2 linked regions of the Elephas maximus indicus genome follow. The protein of the gene in region 2 interacts with the protein of the main gene of each other region in a biochemical or structural test. Links are inferred from orthologs where the notes say so. Each region holds a gene or a part of one and is shown on either strand. Other genes may lie near its edges.

Evidence for each region.
Region 1: the proteins of TJP1 (region 2) and CGN form a complex in vitro, tested with the Homo sapiens proteins (2 studies listed by BioGRID and IntAct, with this or other methods). The link is inferred for Elephas maximus indicus from reciprocal best matches to the Homo sapiens genes TJP1 and CGN.

Annotation. Positions count from the first base shown.
Region 1 is NC_064821.1:185,570,249-185,577,933, forward strand, and holds the start of CGN (cingulin), read left to right. Parts: upstream 1-4,250; 5' UTR 4,251-4,299; coding exon 4,300-4,309; intron 4,310-6,050; coding exon 6,051-6,931; intron 6,932-7,685. UniProt on the Homo sapiens protein: Probably plays a role in the formation and regulation of the tight junction (TJ) paracellular permeability barrier.
Region 2 is NC_064831.1:94,002,098-94,009,892, forward strand, and holds the start of TJP1 (tight junction protein ZO-1), read left to right. Parts: upstream 1-4,729; 5' UTR 4,730-4,744; coding exon 4,745-4,917; intron 4,918-7,795. UniProt on the Homo sapiens protein: TJP1, TJP2, and TJP3 are closely related scaffolding proteins that link tight junction (TJ) transmembrane proteins such as claudins, junctional adhesion molecules, and occludin to the actin cytoskeleton.

The DNA.
Region 1 (7,685 bases), on a different chromosome or scaffold from region 2:
TGGAGACAATGTGATTTTAAAAAATTAAATCATATAATAAGTTAGAAGGTAATATACTGGAGAAAAAGTTGCCAGGCTGTAAAATGATCGTGGAGGCCAGGGTGTAGGGGAAGAGAACCCAAGACTGGGGTTCTAGTTTAGTTGGGGAAAAGGAAGACGAGCTCAGGTGGATTGGGCTCTGATGTCGAGGGACAAGGGAGGTTTTTCTGCAGAAAGTGATGAGAGTGTATTTTGGTTTATGCGCAGGTAGGTGAAGGACTGTAAGTCGGAATCGGCTGGACGGCACTGGGTTGGGGTTTTTAAGTGAAGGACAAAAGAGGCTCTGGACCGAGATTCCCGTTGGGAAAACTAGAGGCGGGGGTTATCTTCCAGCAGAGGCGAGAAGATGCTGCAGCTGCGTAGCTCCGGGGCAAGGGGTGAGGGCGGTCACGGCGGCCAACTGCTACGCCCCCAAAATGGCTTCCCAGTGCCCCTCGCCGCCCCGCCCCCCGAGCGCCCGCCCCCCGAGCGCCCGCCGACCCACGTGACCCGCCCCCCCCCCGCCCATCCCTGCTCGCGACCCCGGCCGGGGTCCCTGCGGCGGCAGCCCCGCCTCTCGCGGAAAGCCGACCAACCGGAGGAAGGGTAGGGCGGGGCGGGTGGTGACGGCCAATGGGAGTGAAGCTCCGTAGGGAGTAACAGGTTGGTGGGAGGGGTAGAGAGAAGGAGGGAGCGCGGGGGGACCGAGTGGGAGGGCCCGGGAGTCGCGTGTGCAGGTCTGCTCTAGCCCGAGCCCGGAGTGCGAGCCCGAGAGCGCCGAGCCCGGCTGGGGTGAGTCAACCGGGCGGAGGCAAGGGCATCTGAGAGGCAAGCGAGCCCTCAGGTGTACCCCTGAGGGGCGGGGGGTTGCGGCGACCAGGGATGTCCCCTTCCAGGGCACAGGTGCTGAGTTGGAGCGGGGAGGAGGGGAGGTCAGGGGAGAGTAGGAGCTTTGATTAAGAGCTGGCCCCTGCTCTAAGCGGCCTGGGGCAGGTTGCTGGCAAGGTACCAGGTGAGGGGCACCTGAGGGTAAGATTTTTCTCAGTGCGTGAAAGCATTTCAGAGCCAGGATTTGTCTGGAGGTTTGACGCCAGCCCCAGGGGCAGAGTTTCTCTTGGAGATCGGGGTGGTGCGGGGAGAGTTAGTCCCAGCTGGGCAGAGGGAACAGCTGCCTAAGGTTCAGGGTAGTAAGGGGAAGGCATCAGCAGGTGCTGTTTTCCTGAAACCCCAGTGCCGGTCTGAGCTGGTTGTTGACGCCTCCTTTCTGGCTTTGAGATGGCTCTGAGGTGTGGCGCCTTTCTCTAAGCGTTCACCTACAGGTGAAGACAGTTGCAGATAAGAGGCACTGAGGGGAGAACAAGAAACCACCCCATCTCTTTACTAGGTGTGAAACTATTTCAGGGGATACGGTTTCTGTCTGCCTTTGCTTTCACGCCAGGGAGGAATTTCCTTCTTGAGATAGTGCTCTCCTAGAGAGGGACATAAGGAGCTCTGGTGGCGCTGTGTTTAAGCGCTGGGATGCTAACCGAAAGGTGGGTGGTTTGAACCCACCAGCCGCTCCTCCTGGCAGTCTGCTTCTGTAAAGATTTACAGCCTTGGAAACTCTACGGGACAGTTCTGCTGTTGCTCTGAGTCAGAATTGACTTGATGACAATAGGTATGGTTTTGGTTTTAGAGAGGATATGAGGAAGCATAGGTCCCTGAGCCTATAAAATATGCAGAAATTCTTATTTCTAACGAGGCCTCTTTCTCTGGGCAGATATCAGTTCCCCCCAGCACACATACCTTCTTCTGTGTTTCTAGATGGAGACCATTGGGTGAGGTTTGGGAGCTCAACCGATTTATCTTGATGCCTCCCAGAATCACCCTTATTCTCTGAGGCCCCACCAGGCATCCTGACTCCCGACCATGATGACTGGCAGGCATTGTGCTGTAGGAAACAGTCAGGACTCCTCAGGAGAGACACAACTAGGAGAATTAGCACCTTCAAGTCTCCAGGCCAGATGACAGGTGCATGTTGGGTCCCAGGCAAGACTTCTGAGGCAGATTTCCTCGCCTTAGGCAGGGAAGGCATCCAGAGCCAGCCTTAGCTTGGCCCCTTTGATGCCCTGCCTGAGGAAAGTTGTTGTAATTGGGAAATAATTAGCAACCGCTATTATATTGTAGACAGGCTGCCCACACGTGTCTGTGCACCTCTTCTTTTGTCCTGGATATTTGGGATTTGGGGAGCTGGCTCTGGGGGGCTGCTTATCTAGTGATTTGGTTCGCTCTAAAGAATTCTGGTGTCCTAGAACCCCTTTCTGCCTTCCACAGGCTGACCTGCATGCTATTGCCCCTGTGGGATGTGGGGAGAGACACTTATCATGGGAGGGGGTGGGCTGCTTTTCTTCATGCGAGGGAGGGAAGAGCTCAGGGCTGGGGGGTGGCCAAGGCAAGTGTGGAATCAGGAGTGCAACTTTGGGAGCTTGAGAGGGAGGAGTAGAGGGAGACAAAGTCTTCTGTCACACACTGGCCTGTCACTCACCGGGTTCTTTGTGTGTCTGCTCCCACTGCCTGTTCCCTCCCTACCTTCTGTCTCTCTCTTTAGAGCTTTGGCCTTGGCAGCCAGACTGGACAGAACCCCTACCCACAGGCTTGCCCCTCTGCCTCCTATGTGGTGTGGAATTTCTCTGGTCTGTTTTACAAGCTGCCAGTGTAGTCTCCCTGGCCCTGCCTTTCCCCTTGCCTCTCAAACCAGTCCAGCCAGTTTACAGGGATCCAGTTCCTCATTGTTTTTCTTCCCACTGGCCGAGCAGCTCTAGCCTGGCTCTCAGGTTTCTGGCTTTTTCAGTGGACAGTCAGAACTCCACTTGGGGGTTCTTTTTGGATCCACTGGGAGCCTCCTTACCTCTGTAACTCTTTAATGGGAGCAGAACAATCAAAGTCACTGAGCTGTCCTCTATTTTGACCATTTGATTTCCTTGTTACCTGAAAGAGGTAGTCTAATCTCTATACCTCTAGTTCCCCCATTTTCTGAATCTGCCAATATGTGGCACCTAGCATACTGCCTGGTCTTGGGCATATCAGCCCTTCCTGAAACCACCCCACTCCCACTTCCTGCCAGGAGTCCAGGGACCCTGTCACTGCTAGTTGGATGCCAGGCGATAAGACTGGGCCAGAGGTGATGGAATTGGGGCAGGGCAGGATAATGAGTAACTAGGAGAAGTGGCTCTGAAACAGGTGAAGGGTGTCCCCTCCCTCCTTACCAGCTGGAGTGGCAGAGGCAGACAGATGAAAACAGAATTAAGTGTGGCCTGGTCTCTTCCCGGAGTACAGTTGGTGGAGAGAGACCCTGAGCATGCGCCAGGGGAGGCAGGAGGGTCAGGCATCTGGTGAGAGCTCAGGCTCTGGGCTTCATGTTGCCTGGTGCTAGATCACTGTTTACCTGCCTCTGGGGCTTTGGCAAGGCCCACAGCTGCGCTGCTCCCTTGGCCCCGCCCCGCTGTCCTCTGTAACCGAAGGTGGTGGGTAGGTTTCGGGTTTTCCATGCTGAATCATTTAGAGCCCTGCTTTCTGACCCACCTCACAGATTCCCTCCAGCCATCCTGGCCCCTGACCCACGTGTCCCAGGACTGAAGGTGGTTGAGGGTAGGGAGTCATTGGGACCTGGGGGAGTGCTGGATCTGCCTCTCAATGAGCTGGTGCTCTCAGGCAAGGGGCTGTGTACTCTCTCAGGCCTAGGCCAGGAGCTCCTTGACCTGGATCTGGAAGATCAGTAGATGTGCTGACAGAGGAGAGCTGCATCATGAATAAATCATGTGGTTTCTGAGAGCTGGCAGTCTAGGCACATCTGGATCTAAAGTCGTGAATGAGTAGGGCAGAGAGTTCAGGCCAGGAGGAGGTCCTGTTATGAGGGAAAACAAGACATAACTGTGAGGGACCCCTGGGCAATTCCTCCTTCTGCTATGCAAGTCTGCATTGGTTCAGGATACAACCTTTCACAAATATTTATCAATATCTACCATGTGCCAGGCATTGGGGACACAGTAATCGGCTGATAGCCATGGCCTTTGCCCTCCAGGAGACTGTAATCCTGTGGGGGAGACGGACAGGAAACAAATAATGACTTCAATAAATATATAAAAACGAACCGAGATAAACCTACTGAAGAACAACTGCAGAGGATATAACATGGATCTGACCTAGTTTGTGGGGAGGGATGGTCAGGGAAGGCTTCTCTGAGGAAGTGACATTCTTCTAGGAACCAGGTGAAGCCGGGAAGTCCCTGTTGGAGGGAACAGCATGTGTGAAGGTAACATTTATTGTCAGCTTTGTAACAGGCCTACTCTGCTAGGTACTTTCGTGTTTAATATCTTGACTTTTCCACCTTTATATTGAAGTATGACTTAAATACAATAAAGAACAAAATCTTAAGTGTAAAACTTGATAAAATTTGACAGTGGTATATGCCTGTGTAATTTGTTGTTGTCTGATTTAATTCTCACAGGTAATTACATTGTGAGATATTATCATTATACCAGTTTTTACAGAGATGGAAACTGAGGCATAGAAAAGTTGTGATTTGCCCGAGGTTATACATCTCCAGGGAGAACAGAGTTAGACTAGTCCAGTGGCTTTTCTACTGTGCCAGGCTGCCTCTGGATAAGTGGTTTGGAGAACTTACCTCTTTACCTCCTAGCTTCGTTTCTGGTCCCATTTTGGATCCTGCCAGTAAGATATCTTGCTGTTTGGGGTATCTGAGTTAGAGATTGGTTAAGGTTCTCCCCAATGCCTAAAAAATGGGAGACCAGGGTCCTCAAAAGTTGACGGTTGGGCCTTAAGGTATCCACGGACCTCTTAAAATTGTGCGATACTAGTTTGTGTGGGCTGTCTCCTAGAGGAGGTTGCACTGCTGTCATCATTTTCTCAAATGCGGACCCAGTGTCAAAAAAGGCAACGAACCACTACCAAGAAGGGGCTCCTCCTTCCCTATTCTTTTCTGTGGAGGGGAAAGGCTGGGAAGGCTGTGAATGCGCTTCCTCAGATAGGAGGCTGTTTCCCCCCACACCAGCCCTTCCTAACGTGGAACTCTGCCCCTCTACATCCCTTCCCCTCCTCATCTCACACGGGTTGTCTGGGCTGCCAGACCTGGCCGAGTTGCCTTGGCTCAGAGCTCCGCAGGGAGGTCAAGTTGCATGTTTGTGTTTCTGTCTGGTACGCTACAGGCACCTCCTCCAGTTTGGTGCTAGGTTCTGGTAGAGACTAGCAGAAGGGGTGGAGAAGTTGCATTTTTTCTTTGCTTGGAGTTTCCTGGAACAGAGCATGCCTGGAATACATTTCATTTGATGACTCTGAGCTTGGCAATGTGGATCTGGGGAGCTAGTCTGTAGATGGCCTTGGCTGTGTGGCCCCTTGGACTGGGACACTTAAAATGATATTTACATTTTTTCTCGAATAGGTAATACATCTGTATGGTTTCAAACTCAAAACGGACAAAAAGATACACAGTAGAAAGTCAGTCACTCTCCCCTTCTTGCCCCTAACCCCTTGGGTTCCTTTCCTCGGAGGCATCACTTTCTTTGAATAGTTTCCAGAAATGGGATGGCACACTTTGACATCTGTCATGCAGGGGTTGGGTTCTGTCCTTTCTTGAGGGAGGAGGAGGAGGGACATGGTGGTGTATGTGTGGATATCAATCAAAGTTTTTAAACTCTTAACAAAACCAAGTTGTCCGGAGCTATATCAGAAGAAATGGATTCTTCTGGACCAGCCGTATCAGGATCACCTGGGAACTTGTTAGAAATGCAAATTCTCAAGCCCCCACCCCAGACTTACTGAATCAGGAACTCTGGCGGTAGGGCCCAGCTATCTGCGTTTTTTAATAATCCCTCCTAGTGATCTTGTTGCTCAGTTAAAGTATGAGAATCACTGTTCTACAAAGAAAAAACTGACAAGGCAACTAGCCCCATTAAAGCGGGGCAGCTGGAGGTTTCTGGATTTCTACTTCATGTCTCTCGGCATAAAATGTTTAATCTCCTTTCTCCCTCTTCCAGGACCTCTCCTGCCCATGGAGCAGGCAGCTACCATGGCTGAGCCCCGGGGCCCCCTGGACCATGGAGTCCAAATTCGCTTCATCACAGAGTCAATGGGTGGTGACGAGACGGGTACCCTACGCCGTGGTGTGCGACGCCCAGCCAAGGATGCAAGAGCCAACACCTATGGAGTTGCCGTGCGCGTGCAGGGCATTGCTGGGCAGCCCTTCGTGGTGCTCAACAGTGGGGAGAAGGGTGGTGACTCCTTTGGGGTCCAAATCAAGGGGTCCAACAACCGAGGGGCCCCAGGAGCTCTGAGCTCTGACTCGGAACTCCCCGAGAACCCCTACTCTCAGGCCAAGGGGTTTCTTGCCTCCTCGCAGGGCAGCGCATCTGATGAGGAGCCTGGGACCCACTGGAATGGAAGACTACTCCGTTCCCAGTCACAGGCCTCACTGGCAGTCCCTACCCCTATGGCTCCAAGCAACAGGAGCACCAGCCTGCTGGAGTTAGCCCCCCAGGGGGCCTCCCCAGGTAGCACCATTGACACTGCTCCCCTGTCCTCAGTGGACTCGCTCATCAACAAGTTTGATGGTCGCCTTGGGGGCCAGGCCCGGGGCCGGACTGGCCGCCGTACACGGACATTGCCCCATGAACAGCGCAAGCGGAGCCAGAGCCTGGACAGCCGGCTCCAACGGGACACCCTTGAGGAGCGGGAACGTCGGTCCCCCAATGACCTGTCCCCTAGCATGAAGTATGACAGCCATGTGGGGAGCTCAAAACAGCCAGCCCAGAGCCAGAGCCCTCTCAGTGGCTTCAGCCGTTCCCGGCAGACCCAGGACTGGGTCCTTCAGAGTTTTGAGGAGTCACGTGGGAGAGCACAGGACCCTGCTATGCTGCAGGTCAGAGCTCATGCCCAACCCCCAGCCCCTTCCATCAGCCCTGACCCATGATGGACCCCTTGCCAATTCAAATAACCTAGAGCAGCAAGTCCCTACCTTTTTTCCTTCACTTCATGCAACCACTTAATGGATGATATTCACATGTATAAGATACTTCCATGGGTAAAATTCTAAAGAAAATAGAACTACAAAATCATCATTCACAAGCATGGAGAGTAATTGGTTATTGCCCCAACCCTTAACTGTGCTTCAGTCACTAACATTTGAGGACTGCAACTAAGTGGAGGTGGGACTTTACTTGAGACAAAATTGAATCCATTCTCAAATCATTTACAAGCCCTAGTATCTTATTTTTATGCAAATAACACGCACTTTCTACATTTGTTTACCAACAGCTCCTCCCCCCCACCAGGTATTTTTGTAAACATGCTATACTAATTTTTTTTACAGCAACATGTGAAAAAAAAAAAAAATTGGCATAGCAGTGCTTAATACCTGGGGGCAGGGCGGGGGAAGGGTGGGAGCAGTTGGCAGACCAACTGTAGAAGGTGCCTGTTATTTGTGTAAAAATAGGACACATTAACTATCATTAGTGACAATTTACTTGTGACACAGCTCATAGCTGGTCGAGATCTGCTTGTCCAGTAAAATCTGTTTTTCAACAATAGCAGAGAGGTATATCTTGCACGGACCTCTCCTGGCCCATTGCTCAGGGCTCAGCAGGGTTGCCACCTTACCCTGTTTCAGGCTTGTT
Region 2 (7,795 bases):
TTTTTTTTTGCGCTCTGACATCAAATTGTCCCAGCACCATCTGTTGAAAAGACTAAATTTTCCCCACTGAGTTGTCTTGACACACTTGTTGAAATCAGTTGACCATAAATGTATGAGTTTATTTCTGAACTCTTAATTCTATCCCAATGATCTATATGTCTATCCTTATGCCAGTACCCCACAATCTTATTTTTATTCAGGTGAAATTCATATCACAATTAAGTATTTTAAGGTGTACAATTCAGTGGTATTTAGCTCATTAACAATGTTGTACAACCACCATCTCTCTCTAGTTTCAGAACAATTTCACCGCCTCAGAAAAACACCCAATTCCCTCCCTCCTCCCATCCATCGGCAAACTAATCAGCTTTCTGTCTCTACGGACATTTCATATAAATGAAATCATACAATATGTGACCTTTTGTGACTGGCCTTTTCATTTAATGTTTTTTCAAGGTACATACAGGTTGTAGCATTTATTGGTAGTTCACTCCTTTTTATGGCTGAATAATACTCCATTGTAGGGATACAGGAAACCCTGGTGGCGTAGCGGTTAAGTGCTACGGCTGATAACCAAAGGGTCAGCAGTTCGAATCCGCCAGGCGTTCCTTGGAAACTCTATGGGGCAGTTTTACTCTGTCCTACAGGGTCGCTATGAGTCGGAATTGACGGCACTGGGTTTGGTTTTTTTGGTTTTGGTAGGGGTACAGCACAGTCCTCTCTTTATTCATCCGTTCATGGACATATGGGTTTCCTACCTTTGGGCTTTTATGAATAATGCTGCTACAAACATTTGTGTATAAGCTTTTGTGTAGATATACGTTTTCGTGTATCTTGGATGTTTCCCACAGCAGCTGCATCATTTTACATTCGTAGTACCAACAAACAAGGGTTTTTTTAATTCTCCACATTTTTGCCAAGACTTGTTATTTTCCATTTTCTGCCTTTTTTTTTTTTTATATAGCCATCTAGGACAGAGTAGAACTGCCCCCTAAAGTTTCCAAGAAGCTCCAGGTAGATTTGAACTGCCGACCTTTTGGTTAGCAGCTGTAGCTCTTAACCACTATGCCACCAAGGTTTCCGGTTGGTAGGTGTGAAGTGATAGCTCACTGTGGTTTTGAAGACCTGGTGATCTACTCCCATAAACATTACAGTCTAGTAAACTCTATGGGGCAGTTCTACTCTGTTATGTAGGGCAGCTATGAGTTGGCATCAACTTGTGGGCACACAACAACGACTAATGATCTTGAACATCTTTTCATGTGGCCATTTGTATATCTTCTTTAAAGAGATGGCTATTCAAGTCCTTTACCCATCTATAAAATAGAATTGTTTCTTTTTGTTGTTGAGTTGTAAGAGTTCCATTTGTTTTCTAGACACTAAATCCTTATCTGATGTATAAATTACAAATATTTTCTCTTATCTGTCAATTTTCTTTTCACATTCTTGATAATGTTCTTTGATATCCAAAAGTTTTCAGTTTTGATGAAGTCCAATTTATCTATTTTTTTCCTTTGTTGCTTGTGCTTTTGCTGTCATATCCAAGAATCCATTGTCAAATCTGAGGTCATGAAGGTTTAATCCTATGTTTTCTTCTAAGAGTTTTATGAGTTTATCTCTTACATTTAGGTCATTGATCGGTTTTTAGTTAATTTTCATATATGGTTTGAGGTAGGGGTCCAACTTCACTCTTTTGCATGTGGACATCCAGTTGTCCCACACCATCTGTTGAAGAGACTATTCTTTCCCCATTGAATTGTCTTGGTGCCCTTGTCAAAAATCAGTTCACCACAGCCGTACGGGCTTATCTCTGTACTCGTAATTCTAGTCCATTGGTCTGTGTCTCTATCCTTGCGCTAGTAGGCTAGCATGCTACCTTACTGATTTAATTACTGAGGCTTTACAGTGGGTTTTGAAACTGGGAAGTGTGAGTCCTATGACTTTGTTCTTTTTCAAGATTGTTTTGGCTAATGAGGACCCCTTACATGCGACATGAATTGAGGATCAGCCTTTTCATTTCTGTAAAAAGGAAAAGAAAAAAAGGCCATTAGAATTTTCATAGAGAATGCATTAAATCTAACAGGTCACTTTGGGTAGTACTGACAACTTCATGTTAAGTCTATCAAGCCATTAACATGAATTGTTGTTCAATTTAATGAAATCTTCCTTAATTTCTTTCCGTGATGTTTTGTAGTTTTTAGTGCACAATTCTTGCACCTCTTTGGTTAAATTTATTCTGAGGCATTTTATTCTCTTGGATGCTATTGTAAATGAAGTTGTTTTTAAGATTCCCTTTATGGATTCTTCATTGCTCGTGCATGGAAACACAACGGATTTTAGTCCACTGATTTTGTGCCCGGCAACTTTGCTGAATTTGCTGACTGGTGATGAGCTCTAGTAGTTTTTGTGGATTTTTTAAGACTTTTCATGTATAGAATCATGTTATCTGCAAATACAGTTTTACTTCACCTTTTATTTCTCTCTCTCTTTTGTCTAATTTCTCTGACTAGGACTTCCAACACAACATTAAATTTTTGTCGTTATTAGTTGCTGTTGAGTCAATTCCAGCTCATGGCAACCCCACGTGTTGCAGAGTAGAGCCACTCCATAGGGTTTTCAAGGTCGTGATCCTTGGGAAGCGGATCACCAAGTCTGTCTTCTGAGGTGCCTCCAGGTAGGTTTGAACTGCCAACCTTTCAGCTAGCAGTCAAGTGCTTAACCATTTGCGCCACCAGCAGTAGTGAAAACAGGCATCCTTGTCTTGTCCATGATCTTAAGGCGACAGCTTTCTGTTGTCTTACCTACACCGGGTATGATGTTAGCTGTGGGCTCTTCATAAATGGCCTCTATCATATTGAGCAAATTCCCTTCTATTCCTAGTGTACTGAGAATTTTTATCATGAAAGGCTGCTGACTTGTATTAAATGCTTTTCTGCATCTATTGAGATAATCATGTTTTATTTTTCCTTCTTTCTATTACTGTGGTATATTACGCTAACTGGTTTCCTTACCTTGAGCCACTCTTGCATTCCTGGGATAAATCCTTCTTGGTCTTGGTGTTTAATCCCTTAACCATGCCAATGGATTTGATTGGCTAATATTTTGTTGGGGAGCTTTTAATGTTTTGACCCAAATCATATTTTTTTATTATTTATTATTAAGATCATTTTGCAAGGTTTGCAGTCATTTGTATATTCCTGCACTACTGTGCAAAGCAATGAATACACGTGTGTGTATATGAAAAAAGAACAGCTACTTGCCCTAAAGTCAACCCCAAGTTACGGCGACCCCATGTGTGTCACGACAGAATTGTGCTCCACAGAGTTTTCAATGGCTGATTTTTCAGAAATAAATTGCTAGGCCTTTCTTCCAAGATGGCTCTGGATGGACTCCAACCTCCAACCTTTCAGTTAGCAACCAAGTGTTTTATATATATATGTGTGTGTGTGTGTGTGTGTGTGTGTGTGTGTGTATGGACACACACACACACACACACAGAGCCCTGGTGGAGCAGTGGTTAAGAGCTCTGCTAACCAAAAGGTCAACAGTTTGAATCCAACAGCCCTCCCTCGAAAACTCTATGGGGCAGTTCTGCTCTCTGCCAAAGGGTCACTATGAGTTGGAATTGAATCGATGGCAGTGGGTTTGGTTTTTGGTTTTTTATACATATATATGCATAATACACATATATATTCCTCACTTTAGACACAATATAAATACAAGGCAAGGTATATATTTACATATGTGTGTATATATATATGTATATATACATAGACATATATATTGCTCACTTTGCATGGTAGTGTGGGATTCCATGAGTTTGAATGGATTCGGTGGCAGCTGGTAGATAAATCAACATAGATATATATATACACACACATCCCTATCTATATCTATAGATATAAATACAAAAAAACTTTAGAATAGATGAGGTTACAAATCATTACATCGTAATTATAAATTAAAAATTACTGTCATTCTTTTTTTTTTGTTATTCATTCTGGATGTGTACTGTTGGGATTCTTTTGGGGACAGTTAAAAGCAAGTTCCTATCAGCAGCTACGGTGCCCTGGTGGCACAGAGATTAAGTGCTTGGCTGCTAATGAAAAGGTCGGCTGTTCAAACCCACCTGCCGCTGGGCAGGAGAAAGATGTGGCAGTCTGCGCCGGTAAAGGTTAAAGCCTTAGAAACCCTATGGGACAGTTCTACTCCGTCCTATACGGTCGCTGTGAGAGAGAATTAGAGTCGACAGGAACGGGTTTGGTTTTTCTGTCAGCAGCTGAAAAAAACTGAAGCCCGAGGGGGCGCGGGGACGCCCCGGCCTCTGCCCGCAGCTCCAGGACGGGGCAAGGCGAGGCTGGCGGGCTGTGAGGCCGGCGCGCGCCGCTCCCTCTGTGCGCACCGGCGGGGCGCATCCGCAGGCCGCGCGGAGGACTCGCGAAGGCGGAGGGGGAGCGAGGCGGCGGCGAGGCCGGGAGCGGGAGGCCAGGCCACGCACGACAGCGCGGCGGGAGCGGGGCCCGGGCGCGCACGGCGGCGGGAGCGGGAGACCGACCACGCACGGAGGCGGGAGCGGGGCCCGAGCGCGCACGGAGGCGGGAGCGGCGGCGGCGGGAGCGGCGGGCACGCACGGCGGCGGCGGCGGCGGCGGCGGGACGGGAGCGGGGCCGGGCGCACAGCGCCGCGGCGGCGGGAGTGGCGGGGGCTGTGGCGGCGGCCGCGGCCGATGGCCCAGAGCTGATCTATGCGGCGCTTGGAGGGGCTGTGTCTGCGGCGGCGGCGGCGGCGGCGGGGCCCTGCCCGCGAGCGGAGCGGGGACAAGATGAAGTACCAGAAATACCTGACGGTGCTGCAGATGGCCATCGGCGTCACGCCGTCCAACCGCGGCAGCCTCCTGCCGCTCAAGAGGAAGCTGTGGTGAGCGCGGCGCGCGCGGGGGTGGCGGCGCCGGGGCAGTGGCCGCGCCGGGCGGGGGCCGGGCCGGGCCGGGCCGGGCAGCGAGGCCGCCGGCGGAGCGCGCAGGGCGCAGCAGCCATTTCGAAGCCCGGGGGCCGGGTGCCGCCGCCTCCCACGGCACCGGGGACATGTTCCGCCGCGACCCTCGGCTGTGCCCGGCGACACGTAGCGCCGCGCGTGGCCGGGAGGGGGCCGGGCCGGGCCCGGCCCCTCGGGGCGCTGGTCTCCCGCCTGGGGGTCGGCCCTTGGGTCTCGGTCCCAGCCAGTTCTGGCTCAGAATTTCAAGCCAGGCTTTCTTGGAGGCAGCGAAAATTTTGTTGTCACGTTATGCGCTTATTGTGATTTTTTCAAAGTCCATCTGCTGTTGGGTACATGGCAGAGGACAAGCTGGTCCCATGTAAACGGGAATAAATCGTGAGATTATCATTGCATTATCAGGGGCTATGCCTTATCGGCAGGAGTTGCAGTTCCTCGCCTGAAAACTATTATTGAGGTGACAGGAAAAGAAAGCCCATAAAGAAAAATGTCTGCAAGTTATACAGATGTGTGTCAGGTTGTGTGTTCTGTTTTATTGCCATTTAAATTATGTCACATGGAACCCCAGTGGCGTTCGAGGCATTACATTGATTTGAGATTTAGGTGCAAGGCATTATCGAAAAACAAGTAATCAAGTAAAAAGACTGTGAGTATATAAAAAAAAAAAATAGACAAGATTAAACTGATAATTTAAGGTTTTAGAAAAAAGGAACCAAGATTGCTTTTAGGCATTTGAGGAGCAATTCTGCTGTGTAAGACAACATGAAAGGAAGATTCGAGGTATATAAAGATACATCAGAAACCACACAACAACAAAGTGGTATAGTCGGTTCTGACTCATAGTGACCGTATAGGACAGGGTAGAACTGCCACATAGGGTTTCCAAGGAGCGGCTGGTGAATTCGAACTGCTGACCTTGTGGTTAGCAGCCGAGCTCTTAACCACCGCACCACCAGGGCTCCATAAAGATATTTGTGTAAAAGTACAGTATTTTACTTGTTTTTCATGTAATTGCCTTTCCCAGTACTAGACTGTTAGTTGCTTAAGGGCAGTGGGCCTTTTACCTGTTTATAGTTGTTAGCTGCTGTCAAGTTGGCGGGACTAGTGGCAACTCCGTGCACAAGTGATTCCATGCACCATGGATGTTGTAGGTCACACTGTTGTGGTCCATTGGGTTTTCGTTGGCTGATTTTCACAAGTAGATTGCCAGGCATTTCTTCCTAGTCTGTCTTAGTCTGGAAGTGCTGCCGTAACTTGTTCAGCATCATAGCAACACGAAAACCTGCACTGACAGATGGGTGGTGGCTGTGCATTGGTCAGGAATTGAACGTGGGTCTCCTTTTTTTCCCCCACAAGGACGATGAGAATTCTACCACTGAGGGAGCCATCACTGCCCCTTTCCGTTTGCTTAGTTCACTGCCAAACCCCCTGCAGAGATCCCCTGGTACAAAATAGCTTCTCAATAAATGTTTATTGAATAAATTAATTATTAGTCATACATGATCGAGAAAGAAAGTCAAGGAAATTTGCTTGCTTGATGTTATATTTAAAAATTAAAGTGTGGAATTAATATTTGAGGAGCTGTTAGGCATGAATATTAGCAGCAATTGGGCACAAAATGAGGAAGCTAAGTTTATTCGTTTTCATCATTGGAGCACTGCTTCTGTAAATACATTCCCAGAATATCGAGTTTGTGAAGAGAGGACACAATCAAGTGAAATCCGTGTAACTTTTATTCTGTGGAGATTCATATTTGAGGCACGCAGTGGACTAGGCCAGGGATAAAAACCAGGGCTTCGGATGTTCACTGGTTTAACCCCTGCTGAGAATTCGCGTTTAGCAAGTTCCCAGGAAGTTATACATAAGAATCACCTGGGGGGTATTGTTAAAATGTAGATTCTGATTCAGTATATCTGGGGTGAAACTGCAAATTCTCAACAGGGAACTTGTTAGAAATGCAAATTCTCAGCAGGAACAAACTGGTTGGAAGCCATGATAAAAACCATCTTTCTAAGAGATAGCTTGGAAAACGCCAGAGGATTTTGATGGACTTTTCCATAATCTTAGATGACCACTTCAGAATTTCTACTCAGTGTGAAATGGATATGCAAATGTTAGTCTAGTTTCTGCAGTGACAAAATGAAGCGCACACTCTACAAACACTCTCAGAGTGGGTGGTACTTTTAAACATAGCGTATAATCTTTATTTATTTATTTTTAAGTTGGAGGATATTGTGCTTGTTTATCTTTTAAACCCTCTGGAATTTTTTTTTCTAGATAATGTTTCCTTTTACTGGGTTGTAGCAACTGCATGGAGGAGAATTTGAGATGTAAGGCGCAATTACATGGCTAGAAAATATGAGGATTATGACTGCAGGGGGTACGTGGAAACCCTTAGCAGACATTAGCAATGTGTGTCAGAACTTGAAATGCATCCTGCTTATGCCAGTTTAGGTGCCTCGGTGGCACACATGGTTTGCACTTCTTTATGAAGATTCATGTGAAGCTTTACATGCTCCCTGTCCCTGTTTGTTTCTCTTTGAGTTGTTGCAATCTGCATGGAAATACTGGGTGCCTGCAAGGTTCAAGCAGCTGCCTTTGAGTGATTCTGATTCATGGTGACCTCATGTGTTAGAGTAGGACAGTGTGCCATAGGGTTTTCAGTGGCTGATTTTTCATGAGTGGATACCCAGGCCTTTCATCCAAGGTGCCTCTGGAGGTGGACTTGAATCTCTGTCCTTATACCAGTGTAAGTAAAGGAAGGGTTGGACAATCCAGTACCTTAGCCCCACACGTCCATCTG